Lonchura striata: one gene and its partners. The protein of the gene in region 2 purifies or fractionates together with the protein of the main gene of each other region. This does not show direct contact. Links are inferred from orthologs where the notes say so. Each region holds a gene or a part of one and is shown on either strand. Other genes may lie near its edges. The genes, in order: MTA3, ZMYND8 and KDM5A.

The links.
Region 1: the proteins of ZMYND8 (region 2) and MTA3 purify together in Homo sapiens (affinity purification with mass spectrometry, with the first as the bait; 3 studies listed by BioGRID). This does not show direct contact. The link is inferred for Lonchura striata from reciprocal best matches to the Homo sapiens genes ZMYND8 and MTA3.
Region 3: the proteins of ZMYND8 (region 2) and KDM5A purify together in Homo sapiens (affinity purification with mass spectrometry; 3 studies listed by BioGRID and IntAct, with this or other methods). This does not show direct contact. The link is inferred for Lonchura striata from reciprocal best matches to the Homo sapiens genes ZMYND8 and KDM5A.

Annotation. Positions count from the first base shown.
Region 1 is NC_134605.1:14,012,319-14,019,038, reverse strand, and holds the start of MTA3 (metastasis-associated protein MTA3), read right to left. Parts: upstream 3,760-6,720; 5' UTR 3,663-3,759; coding exon 3,635-3,662; intron 1,553-3,634; coding exon 1,485-1,552; intron 1-1,484. UniProt on the Homo sapiens protein: Acts as a component of the histone deacetylase NuRD complex which participates in the remodeling of chromatin.
Region 2 is NC_134619.1:8,586,262-8,592,981, forward strand, and holds the start of ZMYND8 (MYND-type zinc finger-containing chromatin reader ZMYND8), read left to right. Parts: upstream 1-3,075; 5' UTR 3,076-3,192; coding exon 3,193-3,206; intron 3,207-3,340; exon of another isoform or gene 3,341-3,611; intron 3,612-3,765; exon of another isoform or gene 3,766-4,291; intron 4,292-6,720. UniProt on the Homo sapiens protein: Chromatin reader that recognizes dual histone modifications such as histone H3.1 dimethylated at 'Lys-36' and histone H4 acetylated at 'Lys-16' (H3.1K36me2-H4K16ac) and histone H3 methylated at 'Lys-4' and histone H4 acetylated at 'Lys-14' (H3K4me1-H3K14ac).
Region 3 is NC_134607.1:11,875,985-11,882,704, forward strand, and holds the start of KDM5A (lysine-specific demethylase 5A), read right to left. Parts: upstream 4,444-6,720; 5' UTR 4,379-4,443; coding exon 4,214-4,378; intron 3,821-4,213; exon of another isoform or gene 2,386-3,820; coding exon 2,308-2,385; intron 825-2,307; exon of another isoform or gene 761-824; coding exon 638-760; intron 1-637. UniProt on the Homo sapiens protein: Histone demethylase that specifically demethylates 'Lys-4' of histone H3, thereby playing a central role in histone code. Does not demethylate histone H3 'Lys-9', H3 'Lys-27', H3 'Lys-36', H3 'Lys-79' or H4 'Lys-20'.

The DNA of each region.
Region 1 (6,720 bases), on a different chromosome or scaffold from region 2:
TTCAAAGTACTCGGGCATTTTTTCAGAATCTCATTTAATATAACATTTATTGAAAAAGTCTTTTGAAAGATTTATTTGAGAAAGTCACAACAGCTCCTAAAATAAAAGAGCAGTTTAGTTCACTGTTTTAATTACTCATTATGAGGACCACAATCTTCTATAAAGAATTTACTAATATTTGAAGAACTTTATCCTTCTCCTTTAAGGGTACAAAAGTAGTTTTTTACCTTGAGTTACTTACTTAATACTAAAAAGTATAATGTTTTGATTAAGCTTCTTACAAAAAAAATATTGTCCCTATTAGAACAATAATCAAAGCATTTTATTACATATTTACATAATATCTTCACATTTGCTCAATACCTTTAACATATGAAAGCAAACCATTCACATTCAAGATGTGTGGACTACAACCTCCAGCCTCCCTTTAAGGAAAAAAAATGAATACATGACTCTCTTCTACCCTGCATAAGCAAGATTAAATTATAGCAATGCAGTTTAAAGATAATAAACATTACATTCAATATATGATTGGAATCATGTCAATTACTGTGAATAAAAAAATTTTCTTCTCCAATAAAAGTCAAAAATTATTTGCCATGCACAAGTTCAGTGGATGTTGCATTGGACAGCACTAACAGCTAATGTGGTTGATGTCTGCTATGGCATATTGTTATGTTTCATTAATAAGAAGAAAACCACTTGCAAGTCACCAATTTTTTAATTTACTTTCTAACCACTGGGGAGAAATATCTTAATCATTACTTACATCATGATGAGCATTTTAACAATTAACTTTTGATGTAGTGCATCAGTAAGTTTTAATACTGCTTGAGGGAAAAGTAAAAAAAAAATACAAAAATATTAAAAATAATTTTAAAACCCATAGAAACACCACACTATTCTTAGTAGTGTCAGAGTGAAGAAAAATAATCATGCTTTCCCCAAAATGACTGTCAACAGAGCCTCCATTTTTCAGGAAAATACACTCATGATAAAGACAGAGGACACAGTTTGTACTTTATTCAAAAGCCCATTCTTCATTCACAGCTGCCAATAGGCAGAGCAATAAAGCCACAGAAGTCACACATTGTGTTACTCGATCAAAGTCTCGCTGGTACCTGCCAGCTCTTCAGATGTCTATCTAAAAGCAGACTCGTTACATGATGGCTTCACAGTGTCAGATTCCAGATGGATTCACAGTGTCATCGTCAGCCAGAGAATGAAATTTATTCATTTCTCCAAGAATTCATAGAATTCGTTAGAAAATTTTTGCAGCAGAGTAATCCTGTTCACCAGGGATGAACAACTGGGTGCTTCCTTAGGTAACAGGGTCGAGTAAGAGGATATCACATAGCAAGTTTTCAGTAACCCTCATAAATCCCTCCTACAGTAGAAATCTTATGGGATAGAAATAATTCTCAGGTTTTAACAAGAACCCTGACTTTTGCCAAAGGCTAAGAAAGAATCTTAGATATTTGTACCTTGTTAAGTTCTTCAATTCTCCTAATGAGATATGGATTGCTGGAAGAATTTTCAAAATAAACATAATCTGAAAGGAAAAAAGGGAAAGTCACTGAAATACCAAAAATTATGTAAAGACATATCACTATTAGTGCAAAAGTTTTCTTCTAAAACAAGAAGTTTTGAAAGGGCTGAGATTTCTTCATAAATGTTGGGACCGTGATGTATTTCTACACTGAGATTTAATATAATTTGTTCCTCAATTCTGGTTTTAACTGCACTACACCTGCTTTAACAACCATGCTGGGAAAAAGTTAAAGGCTTTGTGTTGAAATTTACACCGTAATCTAGTAATCCATACACCTCATTAATCTTGATAGGGAAGGAGCAACTTCTCACAATCAATTAGGGAAGATTTAAGAACTGAGCACTTTAGTGACTTTCCATATTACCGAGATTTACATTTCTGTAAGAGACGACACGTCACATTTATTATCAGGTGTTGTGGCAGTACAGTTGTCCCAATGAGTAATGTATGTTTTATGATACTTGCTCTTGTAATCTCTGTCCACTAAAATGCAAACTATATTAAGCAGGAATTGTCATGAAATTAGCAAGGATCTTGTAGGAAGTCTCTTTCAACATCATTAATATAAAAATATCTTAATAAAGTGAATGGAAATTTACTCATATCCTGAAAGCTGCTCCCATGTAACATACAAAGAATTGACAAGTGTGTTTCCTTCATAGTTTTCTGAAAACTTGTTTTTGTCCAATGAAGAACTACCCACCAAATGTCAACCACACTTTAAAGTTGATGTTGGACTTCTGTACCATGCCCCTTGCACACTTTGTTTCTAAAAATCGGATGAGGAACTATAACAATGTATAAAAGCCTTCTGCAACAGTTTGACACTACGGTACAATGAAAAAGAACTTCAGGTAGTTCTAATGAAAGAATAAGATCTCTGGATAGTGCTCACAATTGTTTATTATGACTACAACGAAAAAAAAAAATAATAATTGGTGACCCATGAGGTAAACCCTCTGTGCTACCTGCTCAGAGAAGGATTACTTTCATGAGTAAATCTAAGTGCTCTAATGAGACAGCATTCAGATGGAAGATTTGTGGCTCCATCAGTGTATCTCAAAGCATTCAAACTATTGTCACCTCTCATTTCCACACATCTTTCCTCTCGGTTCTGGATTTTGAGAGAGCAAGAGGATGGAGCGATTTTTGAGCACCCAGTACTACATACCTAACTTGAGCAGTGCACCTGAGCCACAGCACTGGGCACACTGCCACGTTCGTTCCCTCCGTGAGCGAGCCAAAGTTATCCGTGTCATTTTCGACAGGCTCGGGGTGGGAAGACAAACGTTTGCCGTGTTTTTCACCGCCTAAACGCCCTCTCCCCACCGCCAAGCAGTCACGAATCAGGGCGCTGCTCAGGGGTCACGGCGGCGAGCAAGGGAAGCTGACAGAAATCCCCCGGTTACGCAGCCAGATTAATTATTTATCCCCAGCAGACCAAGGAAGGCGCGGAGAAACTCCGCCGTGAGAGCGAGGGAGGGCGCGGGGGCAGGGAAGCGGCGCGGAGGGAAGCGGCCCCGGGGTGGGCTCGGGCTGTCCGTGCGCAGCGCCCCGCGCCGCCCCGCACCGCCCCGCGCCGCCAGGGCCCGCCAGGCCGCGGCGGGGCGGGCGCGGCCCGGGGGCGCACGGCCGGGCGGGCGGCCCCTGCTCGCCCCGCGGGGCCCGGCGCTCGGCCCCTCCGCCGCTCTGCGGGGAGGAGGCGAGGCGCAAAGGGCGGCCGTGCCCGGCCCGAGGCGCGGCGCGGGGCTGGCAGCCGGCGGCGCCGCTCCCCGCTTTCCCGCGGAGGGCGGCGCTGCCCTTCTCCTCCTCGGCGGCGGGGGCCGGGCTCCCACCCGGCGCGCGGGGCTGGCGGGGGAGGAACCTGCGTCCTCCGCCCCGCGGAGGGCCCGGCGACCCTTCGCCGGACCGGCTGCCTCCTCTCGCCGCCCGCCCGGGCCCGGCCGCCCCGCTCGGGACCGCGCCCGCCGGGGGCCGGGGCGCCGCTCTTCGCCCCGGCGCGGCGCGCACGGCCCGCGGCCCGGCGGGACCCCCGGGCGGGCGCGGGGGGCTCCGGGCGGGCGCTGCCGCGTCCCCACATACCTCCCACTCGGTACATGTTGGCCGCCATGTCTGCGCTCTGCGCCGCCCTCCTCCTCCTCCTCCTCCTCCTGCCGCCTCTGCCGGGCCGGGCTGGGCAAGGAGGGAGCGGCTCCCGCCGCCGCCCCCCCCGCGCCGCGCCGCCACCCCTCGCCGCCCGGCCGCAGGACACAGCGCCCCACGGGGCCGCCGCCGCTTCCGGAGCCGCCGGCGGGGAAGGGGTTAAACCGGCGCCCCGCCGCTCCCCCCGCGCACCGGCCCCGGGGCGGGTCCGGGCCGGGCCCGGCCGCAGGTGGGGTGGGGCGGTCCGGCCGGGCGGCGCCGGGGGAGGTGCGGGTGCGCGGACACGCTCCCCGCCCTGCCCGAGGCACGCCACGTTCTGCGGGCTCCCGCCGCTTTGTTCCGACCCTTTCGGAACTTGGGGGTTTTTTGGTGTTTGCCTCTTCCCCGGAGCGGCTGAGGGATCTCTCTCCTTTGGCAGCTCTGAGTAGTATCTCAGGAAAAGTTTGTTTCTTGCGCAGCACCTGTTGGTGATGGGTTTGGCGGCCCCTTTGTTCGCCTCCGTAGCGCGGTCCCGCGGGCGGCTCCGGCGCCCCCAGCCCGCCGCGGGCACGGTGCCTCTCGGAGCTCTCCGCCGTCCGCAGGATGCAGCTTGCTCGCAACAGGCAGCAGAAAACATCTACGACAGAATAAAGATAAATCTAGCAGCTCATCTCGGAGGCAGGAAGCGTCGAAAGAGATGCTTACAAATCATCCGATGAGAGAGATGCTTAAAAAACATCAATACTGATGTAACATGAAGCCATTTCCCCCTGTTTATACAAAGTTTACACCATAAGCAACAATCCATACACTTTACAAACAAATTGATCCTGCTGTGGCATGCTTTCTTGGAAAATAAATGCTTGTTATTATCTTCCTGCAACGAAGGGGATGATTTATTATTGGTTTTATGTCCTGGATATTTATGTGTGCAGCTTGAGCGTTACCAAGTTAAAATTTCACTTCATCCTGAGCTGCAGGAAGATGCGTTGATTAGAAGGAGGGTGATCATCCTTGGTGTTTCAAACGATTATATCCTGTCTTTCTTTTCTCCTCTAAGCAAATCTGGGACTATAAAGTTTTGTCTACTTCCAGGACACTTTTAATTTCTCAAGTGACTACAACTTTGTATCAAAACGCCAACTGAGAAGCAACTTTCTGAAACACATGTAACAGGCACATGATACAGTAATTTATTTTTCTTTTAAAAACAGCAGCACATTCAAGCAGTGAAAGGAAAAATGGGGAATTTTCCTCTGTTGAACATCTGTGGGAACTGAAAACAAGTCAGCAGAAGCTCCTTGGGAAGTACCAACTCTGTCCAGCTGGGTATTTCCAAAGGCACAATAACATGACCTTAGCAGAGACCTGAGGTGTTACTTTTACTCTCCTGTTTTACTGCTTGGGCAAATGAAAGAGGTTAAACTTTTTAGGCAAGAGAAGTTAATTCGAACATTTGGTTTGGCACAGACATTTCCAATTAAACAGAATGCCTCCAAGCTCTTTTCCTCATTTTAAGTCTGCACTTGGACATTAGGGGGACTGCCCTCACTAGGAAGTTTACGATGTCCCCTCATCCAGCAAGGAGTAGATTTGGACAGACACAGACCATTGCTTCCATCAGCTGAAGGCATGGCCTGTGGAAGAGAAAAGCAACTCCTGGAGATACAGAAGGTGAGAGAGCAGCCCAGGGAAGCCCATGGTCCCAGCCTGTCCTTTCAGGTGGACAGCCTGAAAATAGTTAGAAAACCACCCTTACTTACAGCTGCCAGACTGAGGCTGCATCGCAGACCAGATAAATAGAGAAATAATGACATTTATATACCTCAGTACTGAATCACTGGGCCCTCTTGTTCGCAGTAACACGGCTCGCACAGCAGCAGCACAGCCCGAGGTGCTCAGTACATCCATAGCTCAAGGTCACTGCTTTGGGAGTGGGCACAGCCAGCTAGTGGATACAGAGTTGCAGGACTGGCAGTACATTTTACTTTGGTGTAACATACACAAAAGCCTGGATACAGTTTATATTCAGTGCTCTCTCAGTGTACAGAATGGGAAAAATTAAAGTTATGTAAACACCTTCATTCTTCTAGATTAAATAGAATGGAAAACTTTTGTTTCAACTACAAAACTGTTAAGAAAAAAACCCCAAAAACAGATAAGAGCTTTGTCTTAACCTGGTATATGAACTATGTTTAGCTATAGACTGATATCACTTGTGCTGTTCAAAAGAAACCACATTTCTGTGGCAACCTAATTCAAGACACAAGAGAGATTATTCCTGATAGAGACATGGGTTACCTGAGAGCTTCATTTTACAATTTTCTTTGTTGTGCCACCGTGAGCAGTCCATCATTCCTCTTCACGGTCCTCCAAAGAAAAGCCAAAAAAGAAAGAATGGAGTGTTAAAAGGATCATTTTAAAACACAGACTAGTTCCATGGTCCAGGCTGGCCAGCTGCCCCCATGGTGAGCAAGATCAGCAGTCCTGAAAGAGATGGACATCAGACACTGAGAGAAGAGATGACCAAGGACCTTTCACAGTATCTCCCACAGAGTGTCTATTGATTTATCCAGGCTGCACCCTCTTTTTTGGCTTTTTCTCTTTAGCTTCATCAGATGCACCTAAATCATGTCTATTACATGCCTATAAGGTCAACTGGAGCTATACAATTTTCTTAATGTATTTAAAAGAACACTACTATGAAATAATTTTTTTCCATTAGAGATAGTACAAAAAGTTTCACCTTTTATTTATAGGCAATTTCAGGCTTCTTTCTTGCATGTGGAATTATATAGACAAAGGTAATGGGAATCTACTATCAGACAATTTTATTCCTGAATTTTCATTTTTCAAATTGAATTTTCTCATTTTCCATTATTGCAGAGTGAAGACGAAAGTTTTAAAAAGTTCTGACAATTTTATCATTTTGTGAAGTCATAGAATAAGAGAACTTCCATTGCAGCTGTCATGCAGCATCCTATTTTGTGTCCATAGAATTTAATTTCAAAGTTTCCCAATTTCAGAAGTTCCTTAATTACAAAAAG
Region 2 (6,720 bases):
TGCAAAGACCTGTATAATGGGCTGCACTTTTAACATTACTGTCTTTTAATTTCCTTTTGAGAATTTGCTTTCCATCTTCCCTTTGGTTTCTCTGTTTAGCCTTTTTTTCCCCTCCCTGCCTCACAGCCCTGTTTTCCCTTAATATCTCTGAAGAATTGAAAAGGATAAATACAAGCTAATCTGCTCTCTGCCCTCTTTTCTGCTTTAACAAAGCTTTTAGCTTCCCCTTGCATGCTCTTCTTTTATTTGTTTTGTTTTCTTTACCATTTCTTCCCTCCCACCAAGAAAAAAAAATCACTACTCCAATGTAAAATAAATGCTCAAGCTGTAGCAGGACGCACAATCATGGTGACTTAAGACAAAAATCTGTATTTTCCAGATGTACCCGTGCATTATACCAGGCTTGTACCTCCTGCTGCAAAATAAGCATGTGGACAAGAGAATAAAGAGAAATATATTTCAAGCTTCCCCTTTGATTCCTGACAGAATTCTTTTGTCTTTTTGAGCAGAGTAGCTGAGTGGCTGAATATACATACTATATCTGTCTGATGTGCTTTCTATGGTTTTGTTCCTGCTAATAACTGCAGGTTTATAAATTTTTCTTTTGCATTTTTGCTTCCTTGAATCAAGAGGAGAGGGGCCTTAGGCCTTTCCTAAGGCTGCTGTTGCCTCTCTCTCCACTGTGTGCTCATTCTGTCTGATAGGCCCAAGTGTGTCAGCTTGGCAGCGTTCCCAGGCACCATCAGCATTACAACATTCCCCGAGTCGGGTCTGGGTTAGCACAAAGCATTGACAAATTCTGTGTATTTACTTTTGTTCCCATGCTGTTCTTCATAGGGATTAGGATTTTTTTTTTTTTAAGAGAATAATATTAGAGTAGAACAGTCACACAATGAGCATAAATGTTAACGGCTGACAATCCTCACATTTACTGCTTAGAGGAATCAAAATTTGGATGTTTGTGTGCCAGGGGTGATATCTCTGAGCAACACAGGTCTTTAGGTGTTCAATTAAAAAGAAATCTATCTTGAATGATTTTCACTATTGAAACTGATGCAAGTATTCACTGAATGTCATGAATTTCCAGTGTGTTTCTGCTGCTGTAGTGGGCTGTGATTCGCTTTATAGCAGCACTCTCCCCAGCTTCTGCTTCATTCCTAAAACAGAACAAACGGTCAGTGTATCCGTGAGCCTTCCTGCTCCCTGCCCTGAAAAACATTGCAACATCTAAAAAGAGAAAATGCTTCCAGCAGGGACTCCAGCATTCCTTCTGATTTGATAATTTATACTCTGGGCTGTTAATCTGCTGTTGCAGGGTGAAATGCAGAGACAGAAGTGTAAGCACAGGATGGGCTGCTGTGGCAGTTCCCTGTGACAAGGCTACCTCAAGGAATAATCTGAATGCAGAATGGGACAATGCAGAGCAGGATGACTAATTTTACTGAGTGGCACAGTTATGAGTCACGTCAGCTCTCAGGCAGTGAGGTTTGTGTGGTAAAGTAGTTATATCGTGAGAGGTGCTGTATGGAGGTAAGGGAGGGCACTAGGTTTTGTTGTGGTGATTGTTTCTGGGATTATTAGCACTCGACTAAACGTGACATGCATATTCTGTTTGCAACTCTTGTAGGTTTATGGAAGAGGGCTTTTTATAGATGGTTTTGCACAGTCTGAGATCCTGCATGTTGTACTGGAAGAACGTTTATTTTTCTTTGATTGTTCTATCTCATTATATAATAATTATTGTTTCAATGTTAAGCGTCTCCCTCTACACCGTCCCTTGTTTTTTTTTTCTTGCTTTTGTTTAATAAATAATTATTTTATATTCAATGTGCTTCAGATTCACCCTTTCATCTGCAATTTCCATTGCAATCTTCATGGCTACAGAATGATAATATAACACAGATACAAAATTTTGAACAATAATGCAAAGGCATGGTGGAGGCTTTCTAAAAATTTAACCTTTAAGATCTTCATCTGGAGTTAAGACTTCCTTCTTGGCAAAACGATAATTTCTCCCACTTTCACTGCATTAGGGAAAAGAATGGAATCACATTTTTTAATCAAAAGCTTGGGAATTGGCCCAAGATCAAACCGGTTGCTTACACGCCGCTTTCTCATTTTGTTTCATTTGCAGCATTTTCGCAGGAGATAAAAAGGTAAAGCAAAAATATCTGAAAAATGATGTGGATGTTTTCGTGGGGGCAGACTGATAACTTGCCTCGTAGAGAAATCTGTGTTTTCAGGGCCTGTGTTGCATCTCAAAAAGCACCAAGTCCTAGAGGGTTAACGGACAGGAAGCTGCAGTTACAGCCGCTCCTAAGGAAGTCAGTTTTTGTCTAACAGCCCAGGCAGGCCGAAAGGTAGGGGCTGGGGGGGATTCCAGATCTCAGGGTCTAGGATGACATGGATATTTTTAGTTTTGCCCTGCAGCATTTTAAACACGGGGAGGGCCTGCACCAAGTGGTAGCAAGGCTCCGTGATAAAGCAATTTCAATTCTGGAGTGCTTTTTGGGAAAAGGAGACATGAGTGTTCCTGCTTAAGGCTCCTTTTTCCCTCTTAAGACTCAGCATACCACGAAATCACACTGTAGGTACATGGTTGCTGTGCTGCATGTTCATGTATTTAAATTCTGGAGCAGGAGAACCCTTCTCGGAGTCCTGAGTTGTTCATTTCAGTCCCTTCTGTGCACGTGCACTTTCAGTAAGTTCTGCTCTCCGCCTGTGGCCTCGCTTGCTCGGCCAGCGCAGCCCCAGCAACGCCAATTGCGCTTTCCGTGCGAACAAAAGAACAGCTCTGGCGACCTGGGCGAACTCTGCGTCCTTCGGGTTCAGAACAGCCAGCTGCCTTCATGAGGCGGCAGGCTGGGGCACACGGGCCGGGCAGGCGGTGCGCGGGGAGCCGCGGGCGGGCCCGGGCCGGGCCGGGCGGGCGGCGGCAGCCGGGCCTAGCGCGCCGGCCTGCTCCGAGCCCGGGATGGCTCCTGCTCCCGGAGCCGCACAAAGATAATCGCTCAGGAAGTGTCTCAGCCAATCCCCTGGCGCTTTACATGCGGATTTGCCGGGGCAGCCAATCCGGGGGCGGCTTTCATGGGGAAGACAGATCATCAAGCCCAAGTGCCAAGCCCTCCCTGCCCGAGTACTGAGAGCCTGTCCTCCATGTTTTATAAGTATTGACATAACACTGTGTTAACAATGCATCCACAGAGGTAAGCCTTGCTTTTTACATTGCTTTTTCTCTAAGACCTATGAGTTGTGGGTTGAGAGTGTGATTCTCTGTGATTTCTCGTGCAAAACTCACACCACAGCACTTATATTAAGTTGGAACTGTTTAAATTTGCTTTCTTGGGTCACATGGTTAGTAGCCATTAGCCACAGCTTTATTTTACAGTCTGGCAAAGCCTTGGCATGCCTACTTCTTCACAGGAGGATGGTGTTTTTAGAGTTTATCAAGATCCTGGTATTCCAAAGGAGGTTTCTGTCTCTGAGCAGTTTGCCAGCACTATTGTCTGTTGTGTCACATGCCTGCTGGAGAGAAAATGGAAGCTAGGGAGCAGATGCATTTAACTGCCCTACAGGGAGTCAAGCAGGGATAATGGCAGACAGAGGAACAGGCAAGTTTACCTTTCTAAACAGTGAATGGAACAGCTAAGATAAGTTATCTCTGAGAAAATATGGGATTTTTAAAAACCTAGGCATCAGCAAAAAGTGCTAATGGCAGATTGTAGATATTGGGCCTAGGTGGTGGTGTGCTGTTGCATCATGTTTTTTATGCAGCTTATCTTAACTTAAAATGATTATTGAACCTTTTTTCTTGCAGGAGTAATTAATACAATGCTTTTCTCTTTCTGAGGGACAATGTATGGTTAATATTTTGTTCCTTTAAAAGGGAGTTTTTATGCTGCAGATTTTGGAAATGGAGTGCTGCTCAGTAAAACGCAGCAGTGCATCTGTTTACAAATCTGATGCTTTATGGAAAATGTTTTTGAACTGTTAGCTTCCTTGCTTTGCATAGTTCAAATAAACTAATGCAACTTTTATCTGTGCCTTTTTGTTTTACATTGTACCAGCCACAGTTCTGTGTTGTGGAGTCCAGAAGATATAAAATCATGTGTGGTTCATGACAGTAGTACATGTTGTTCGTTCTTGGGTTTTTTTTTCCCTTTTAATTTTTTTTACTTTTGGTTAATTGCTACGTAATTATTTCAAGAAATTCCTTTTTGATCAATTCCAAAATCTGCCAGCCTGTTGTATCTCCTTAACTGGAAAAATGAGATGGGTGCTTGAACAGTTGGTAAGTAAGCAGCATGCTACTCTCTGAACATTTTTAATAGTTTTCCAAACATTTTGTTTTTACTGGGTCAGTCAGTGAAGTAGATGAAGTGATGTTGGTGGTTAGTCATATAAAAGATCAGATTTGTTTAGCGTCCATTTTAAGGGACTTGTACATGTAAACTGCTGTATTTGAATGCACTGTTTTTCTGATAATTTGTCTCTAAATTTTGAAGCTTTTACTTCCTGTTTACCTTAGGCCAGTGAAAAATATTCTACTTGCTGTTCGTTCCTAGATCATTAATTGCCATGTTTGCAGGGCAAAGCGCGTTTTCACCGTTCCTTGGGCTTTTCGGGTGTGATGAAAGTGCTGGTGCTCAGCAATGAAGTGACCTTAGGAAGTAAAGTAAATAACACTTAATGAGCATATGTTTCTGATACTATACAAAGTATAACCTCAGACAAGCTTGCTTGGTTTATAACTAATTTAGAAACATTTTGTGCTCTTTATAAAGATTTTAATTGTAGCGCCTGCATGCTTGTTTGAACAAGCTGTTTTTCAGTGATCACTAGGGCTGTTACAAAAGCAGAGAAGGGATGCTCTTTTGTGTTTTTAATGTAATTTTTGCACTTGTTTTAACAGTCCATACACATTTATTATTTTCGGAAAGAACTGAAAGCTAGGCTGGCTTTGCAAATAAATAACTGTGCTGAGGCACAGGGCATGCAAACTTTTCTAGCCCCTTGCCATGTATTTGGTAACGTTCTTTAACAGCAATTTACCTCTGTTTGCTTGTTTACCAGTGTGAGTATCTTACTTTGAATATCTCACTTTGGCTAAAAGCTTTCCTATCCTATCCCCCTCTCCATGTTTCCCCCTCCTCCCTTCCCCCCCCCTGCCCCCCCCAGTCCCCTAGGATTAGATTATAAGAATGTCTAGTTCAATTTAAAACCTGAAATACTGCTGGGGTACCACTGAATTTCATGTGATAGTATTTCTGTATGCAATTTTAATGCATCTTTCAGTATACGTGAAAGTGCTGACACAGCTAAGAAGTTATTCTGGTTTTTGCTCTTCAGTTGCTAAAAAACAGAAATTACATTTGGACACAATTTTCCTAGTAGTAGTTTATACATGCTAGCTGTTTACTTTCAGCCTTTAAGAATGGGCAACATAATATTTGTTTAATGTGAGGAAGCAGGGGTAAGTGATCTGCAATCAGAAAGCTTGTATTAAAATGGCTCCCACAGGTTTTGTTAAACCAGGATCTGTTTCAAATCTGCACCTCCAGACACGCTGCTGACAGTGAAGCGCATTTGTGTGAGCTGCCCTCGTGCATGTAATGAAACGGAGCATCGTGAGTCTGTTAAAGTTCACTATTTTCAATCACTCGGGTGTAATTCTTTTATAGTTCACAAAAAACAAATGTCTGCATTGCAGCAAGATGTCTGAGGCAAGGTAGAGACAGCAGCGCTGTGCCTCGGCTCAGCCCAATGGCACTGCTCCGCCAGCGCCGGAGCCAATTGCTGCAGCAGGCAGGTTAAAGATTGACAATTGCAGTGGCAAGGCTGAGAAAGGCCTTCTGGAAATTTCTGCCATCTTTGTTCCATCTAAGCAAAGCAAATTCAGACAAGCTGAAGGATTTCAGATGTGTATATTTTTTGGTGCTTTGTCAAGGTACAGTGTTATCACTCACTTCCCTAGGTTGTGTAATAAGCTGTTTTTTCTATTCAGGACAGATGGAATGTGGGTTTTTGTTTTAAGTGACAGATGCAGGGAAAAAGCACGTATTGCTTTCTCCCCAAGATTTTACTGGCCTGGATCTTGTTACAATCACAATTAGACAGGACATGTATGAAGCAATGCAGCTGAGGTTTATTCAGCTTGGAGCAAATGGCCATTATTCTGATTATAACTAGCAGTTAATCGTATAATTACACTGTAAGTTTTCTGGCTACTAGAGAGCAGTTTGAATTGCCCAGGATGAATATGATTAGGCATTATTATTTAGTGCCAACATCCAGTTACTTTTGTAATTAACTGGACAAAGAATGGAGTGGGGGGAAAACAAAGGAGTGATCTGGATTATAAATCATGGTGAAAACAGTAGCCTTTTAAAAGCTACATGCCTTTTTCATTCTTTGCAGGCAAACTGTTTTACTTGGAAGCTAAATAGTGCTAGGGAAAAGCTGAGCAATTTCTTTAAACAAATGACACTACTTAACATATTGGAAATGAAAAAAATGCAGAGTATAAACCACTCCAAATGTAACAGTCACCCCCCCTCACAGTAGGTAGGAGTATGAAATGTAGCAGAAAACCTACGTTGCTACTAAGAGAGCATGTAATGAAAGGAACATCATGCTCAAAAAGCAGAAATAGATAGATTACATCACAAATTTAGCCCTTCATATCATGTCCACAAACTTCAACTGGCTCGTCTTCCTCAG
Region 3 (6,720 bases), on a different chromosome or scaffold from region 2:
AATGGTACATACATTTTGCCAGTGCAAAACAAAATTCCAACAGAGACTTGTGCATAAACTTTGAAAGAAATTTGGTGCGTTCACCAAACATAACTATGGAAACATTCATTTCTAGCCAGCCTTAAGCCAAGTCTGTTTTGGAAATTAAATAAGTATTCCTTGAGCTGACATTATATATTTTCAGAGACACGTGTTTATAAAAACCTCTACTGGAAGAGAAGAAGGAGAAATTGCAATAAATCATTACAGAATTGTTGATCAGAGCTGAAATGAACACAAGCATACTGCTGCCTTCCCAAACAACACCTCAAACTCCTGCAGCTCTACCACATGTAAGAATGGAGAACTAGAAATCAAGAGGCCAGCTGAAATCAGAACACTCAAGCTATACAAGCTAATAAATACCTGGTGTATGGAACCCAACCAATCCAACCAAAGGTAACTAATTTAATTACACTGCGAGAGGTCTGCCATAAATATTCAAATTAGAAATGTTTTTTTCATTTAATTTTTCCCACTTATTTAATCTCTGAGTTAATAAGATTAGTGCTGTAACACAAGTCATTCCTCTTGCTTGGCTTCTTGAGCTTGAATGAAAACTAAAATCCCTGTCTGCCTAAGGTCTACAAATACTTACCTTGCTCAGACCATACAGATCCAGTATTTTTCTCTCAACCACAGGGATTTTTAAATTGGATCCTTGGAGTTCCCAAAATTTTGCTAACTGATCCAGGAAGTCCAGTTTCACTCTTGTCATTGCCTGGAATCAGTAAAGGTAGACAATCACGTATGTTCAAAACCAAATGTGGCAAAATCTTACAGTCCTGAGAGAAAACAAGGTAAGTTTTTATAGTGTTTCCATTTTCAACATGGAACTTGCCTGGGAGGTATTTCTTTATCAGGTAAAAAAACCCCTAAAAATATAAATTTTGTTTAAAAAAACACTTCACAAAAAGAAAATTACATATGCTTTTCTCTCTGCATTTAAGACACTATAAATTAAATTCCTACCAAATAATTTCTTGGCCTGAAAGCAAAATGCATGCTTATGAAATGATCATCATTCCAAGCAGAAACACAAGAAAAATTATTGTGACCCCCGCCAACAGTCACATTTGACTGCATTTGACCTGAGGCTGTGGAGAAGGCTTCCAAAATAGAATGATAAAACTAAGATTATGGGTGTGTAGTTTGAATAGAAGTGTGTAATATCACATGGTAGAAAACTTAGAGCTTTAAGTTTTAGAACACAGTAATTAATATAAAGCAAGAGAGAGGTTTTTAGTCCCTCTTTACCTTCTTCTCCATGGGTTTGGGTGGTATAATGTAATCAGATAAAAAAGTCCACATTGTGGGCCACAGGTGGTTAGTTATTAGGTTAAAAGTAAAAATAATTTGTGTCATTTCTTAATTAGAGATTAAAAGGCCTTGTAGAGAGAGAGATATAGCTCCATGTTTTTAGTGTGTTAGAGTGAAGTGCTGTAGAACTCATGGCTTGTGAGACGGTAACATAGATAAGAACTAATAAACACCTCAGTCCAAACAAGAAATAGCATCTCAAGCTTTAATCCCAACCATGGCAAAAAGAAGTGGTGTCCTGTGTGAACAAGACAATTATCTGTGGGGAGGAGGGGAATTACCAAGTTTTTGTATGTGCCAGTTTTTATATATTCCTTATCCACACAAAGGGTCTCTTCTCTGAAGTATTTCTGGAGTACCCAAATCACTTTCCATAAGGAGACCCATTTACAAGCCAAATGACATTTTGGTAGGTGAACAAAGCAAGGCTTTGAGAGATGTTGCAGAGATAAGGAAAAATCAGGACAGAATGGAGGTCATACTGCTCACTTAAGTTTTAAAATCATAACATTATCAGCTATAATAAACCTATAAAAATAATTTTAAGGATTAAAAGGCATTATTATGACAGTATGAGGTAACCAGAGGTATCAGAGCAGCAGGAAATATTTTAAGAGGAAAAAATCATTGCCTGTGGAGCTCTGAAGGCTAGATACTGGCTGCTCTTACTAAACACATGATATTTGGAATTCATTCTAGACACTATCAGGTGAATGAGAAAAACTCCTGTGGTTATTTTGGGGGAATAAAATAAAAAACAGAATTTTCTCAAAGCGAGGGAGGGTTATTTTATACAAACTTTGCCACTGCCAAGTATAAACACTGATGTGGTCTACAGGCTTCTGAAGTGTCCCCCATCCAGAAACCTGGCAAGCTGCAAATCTCAGGCAGGAAGACCTCTTTCTTTCAGTGCAAGCACAAAATTATATCAACAGTGAAAAAGCTCACCTCCAGTTCATTCAGGCGCTGAATTCGTGGAGTGAAACGAAAACTTTGTACTTCACATGCAAATGGAGGCTGCCAGTCCTAAGCAGAGACAGAAAGACATTTTACTGCTTCCAGAAACTTCTCTGAAAAATGCACAAAACCAAACACCCTAATAATGCCTCAGTAAACAAGCTTCCAATAGTAAATTAGTTTCTCAGAACAACCGGTGATATAATTTTCCAATTTTAAGATATTTTCTGCTTATACAACAATGTTCCTCCCACCACATTTTAGTTTGAATAAAGATCCTCACAGATTCAAAAATGTCAAAGAAAATAAGGTTCAAAGCATCTCAGTATGCATTACCTCATGCTATGCTTAAACATGAAATACACTCTTTAGCTGATCGGTTATTTATTTACTTTAAACAAAGAATCCATATATCCTGCACACTGAAAAATCCTCAGTGTCAACAGCAACAAAGGCTAAACCAGGCATATCATAACATATCTAAAGGTTTTCTGCTTGTCTACAGTCATTTCAATAAAGACAAGACCACAAGTTGTGAGCCCAATTCTTTAACAGAAATGGAGCCATACATAATGATTTTCTCAGCAACATCAGGGGTCCTTGCAACTACAAGTGCCTCCCACTCCCATTTCTCAAACCCTGTTACATCAAAACAAGAAAATCAGCTTTTTAGCACTTTTTACCAAAGCTTTAGTTACAGCAGAGCATCCACCTGGCAGTGGCTACACCAGAAGAAGGACACGCCATTACAGGTGGACAAGCCACATAATCTGCTGCAGCATGTAAAGGCCTTGAGCACAGCCTTAAATATTTACAACTTCTAATAATAGAAAATAGCAATTAATCAGTCAGGGTAGTATGAAATGTCTGATTTAGCAATTATTGCAGACTATAAATCAACCCAACACGTGCATCCTGTGAAACCCTGAAAGGCAAGCAGCTCAGCAGTCTCAGAGAAACGCAAATGCATCCAACAGCCAGAGAAGTTTCAGTTATCCTCAATGAACAGGATCTGGATCTGTTCCTTGTGGGCTCTCAAACTGAGCTATGCAGCTTATTTTAGAAAGGGCAGCCCCTTGGAGGTCAAGTTTTCACCATGTCACTAAACTAACTAAACACATTCCAGGAACCAAAACAGGTCAGGAGAGAACCAGGAAATCCAATCAGCAACCCCCATATCTACACTGTTCTCAGTTACACACTTTCTTTTCAGGTTTTTACCTCTCTCACTGTTTTCAAGTCTCTTATTAACAGCTGCATTTGAAGTGTATTTGTACTCTAATAACTCACTGATGTAAGTGCCTTTTGCCAAGCTGCCTGAAGCTCTCCCTGTGATGACCCGCCTGGTCACTAGGCAGGTGACCTGTAACTCCCAAGCCATCGGAGAGATTAAGCGGATACCTCCCGAACAGCTGTGAACAAACGTAATGCCCGCACACCAACAGGTTGGCCACCCTCCTCTTAACGGTCTAAAAATTGTGTTTATGAACAATGATACAAAACGAACAAATACCCTTCCCTCTCCCTCTTTCCCACCCGGAGCAAACGCCCGATTTCACCTACAAAGCCTTCCCAGCTTTCACAAGTCGACTGCTGGCGTTTTGGAAATAAAAATAGCACGAAGTCCCGGGCACCACCACGCACTATTCGCTTCTCAGCTGCTCCAAAGCAGCCTCTACAAAGCCCCGCTCGGAGGTCAAAGATTCTACAGGTTCCTCGGCGTCCCTGGCACGGACACCGCGGCCTAAGGAAAGCGACACACGAAACCCCGAGTGTGTGCGGAGAGGGGGGGACTGGCCTGTCCAGCTCCTCACGTCCTCCACCCGGCCACCGAGGGCCCGGCCGCTCTCGGACCACCCGGGGATCCGGCAGGCGCAGCCGCCAAGGCGGGCGGTACCTTGGGGGGCCGGATCTTGCAGATGCCGGTTTTCTCGGCCAGGCCGCGGATGCGGCCTATGAAGCCGAGTGGGTCGCTGAACTCCTCCCAGCTGGGCTCGAATACGGGGCACTCGGGCGGCGGCACGAACTCGGCCGCATAGCGCGACCCGCCGCCCCCCGCCATGGCCGCAGGGGGAGGGGGGCGCCGCCGCCGCCGGGAGCGCAGGGCGGAGAGGGATGGCCGGGGGCTCAGGGGCTGGGCCGGGGACCGAGGCGCATCCCCTGGCGGCGCTGCCGGGCGGGGCGGCGGAATGTGCTGCCAAGCGCTGCTGCCGCTGTCCCGGCCGGGACCGCTGCCCCCGCCCGAGCCCCGCTCCTCGCCTCCCAGCCCGCCGGAAGTGACGTCCCTTCTACGGCCTCCCGGAAGCTCTCGCACGTTGCCTTCCGATCCAAAAAGTAGTTCCTCCGCAGCGCTTCCTCTGCCGAGGTGGCTTCCTCGCTTTCAGCTCCCGGACAAGCCCCCGCGACAGAGCTCAGGGCAAACCGCCCCGCCCGCCGCCTCTCAGGGCACTGCGCCGCGACAGGAGGGACCGGGGGCCGGGGAGGGCGGGGCCACCCCACTTCCGCCGCGGAGGAATGTGTGACGAAGTGCGAGCCATTCTCTTCCGGTTCCGCGGGGCCGCGTCGCCCATTGTCTGTGCCGGACGTCAGGAGCGCCGCTGGAGGCCCCGCCCCTCCCGAGCCCCGCCCCTCACGGGCCCCGCCCCCTCATGGGGGCCGCCCTCTCACGGGCCCCGCCCCGAGCTCGCCCCCGGCAGCGGCGGTGACGGAGGGAGGTGTCGGAATGGGGAGGGAGGCGCAAGTGTCACAGAGTCCGGCTGCCTGCCCTGCACAGCACATCCCCAGTCACACCGTGTGCCCGAGAGCGGTGTCCAAATGCTCCTCGAGCTCTGGCAGGCTGGTGCTGTGCCACTGCCCTGGGGAGCTGTTCCAGTGCCCAGACACCCTCTGGGGGAAAAACCTTTTTGTAATATCCAACCTAAACCTGCCCTGGCACAGCTCCAGGCCGTTCCCTCGGCTCCTGTCAATGAGAGATCTGTATCTTTTACCTATCTGTTGCAACACGGTCTTCCAAAGTATGTTTTTTTGTGTTCAACCAAAACTGTGCCTTCGCTATCTACCAAATGCCACATTTCACTCTATTCTTACTGATTATTCAAACCTCCGTGCTGGTGTTCTGTTTCAGCCTCAGAAAAAGTTTATATCCTGAGCTGGAAGGGACCAACCAACAACGGTCATCAGGGCCAGTCCGTAACAGCAGCCTATCTTCTGGACTTTGCCAAGAGAAATTATCTACCCTGCTATTTTCTCTATTTCATGAGAAAATTGATTTGAAGAAGAATCACAGAGTTCTTCTCTCTGGAAGGGACCCACAAGTATCATCAAGTTCAACTCCTGGCCCTGCATAGGACACTCCAAGAGTCACCATGTGCCTGAGAGCGTTGTCTAAATGCTCCTCGAGCTCTGGCAGGCTGGTGCTGTGCCCACTGCCCTGTGGAGCTGTTCCAGTGCCCAGCCACCCTCTGGGAGAAAAACCTATTTGTAATATCCAACCTAAACCTGCCCTGGCACAGCTCCAGGCCATTCCTTTGGCTCCTGTCAATGGTCACCAAAAAGAGATAAATGCCTGTCCCTCCTCTTCCCCTCACAAGGAAGTTGCAAATTGTGATGAGGAAGAACCTTGTGGTTTCTTAAATAAGCTTTTTTTTTTTCCCTTGTCATATAGAAAGTCCATGTCTTTTAAACAAAGTTATTGTAAAATGCAAGTGAACCCAGTGGGAAGAAATGATGATGTCCGACTCTAGTTCAGAAGGCTGAATGATTTCTTTATTATAACTGCTATAATACATTAATATACTATATAAGTAAAACTACAAACCTACTTGTTCTAACTACCATATCTAACTCACTCACAAACTGTGACCCTGTTCTTGAGAGTTCAGATGCAGGTGGATTGGATTGGCCATCAGGCTCAAACAATCCTCACCAGAATCCAATCAAGGAATCATTTCAGGTAAACAATTCTCCAAGCACATTCCACAAAAAACAAGGAGCAGAAATAGAAATTGTTTTCTCTTTCTTCCTTCTGTGCACCTCTATGATAAATCCTGAGACGGAGAAGAATGTCCCTGTGACACAAAGTCTTAAGGAAAAAAGAACCCTAGCTTATTGCTGAGCAATTTTTTTTTCTCCAGCACACTTAATAAATTAGGAAATCGTTTGGTGCATAAATGGCAACACTACTACTAGGTACTACCGGGAATACATGAGGAGGATGAGGAGGCTAAAAGGCAGCAGGATGACCTAAAGAACACACTCAATTCAGTCAGAATTTGTGCCAGTAACTTCTTGTGGCTGCTTCCGAATGCCAGGTCATTTTCAAAGGAAAAGGGGCGTTTTTGCCAGAGCGGATAAAGGTTGCTGTTATTTTGCCCGCAGCCCGACCCGCTGCTGTCACAAGCGCGG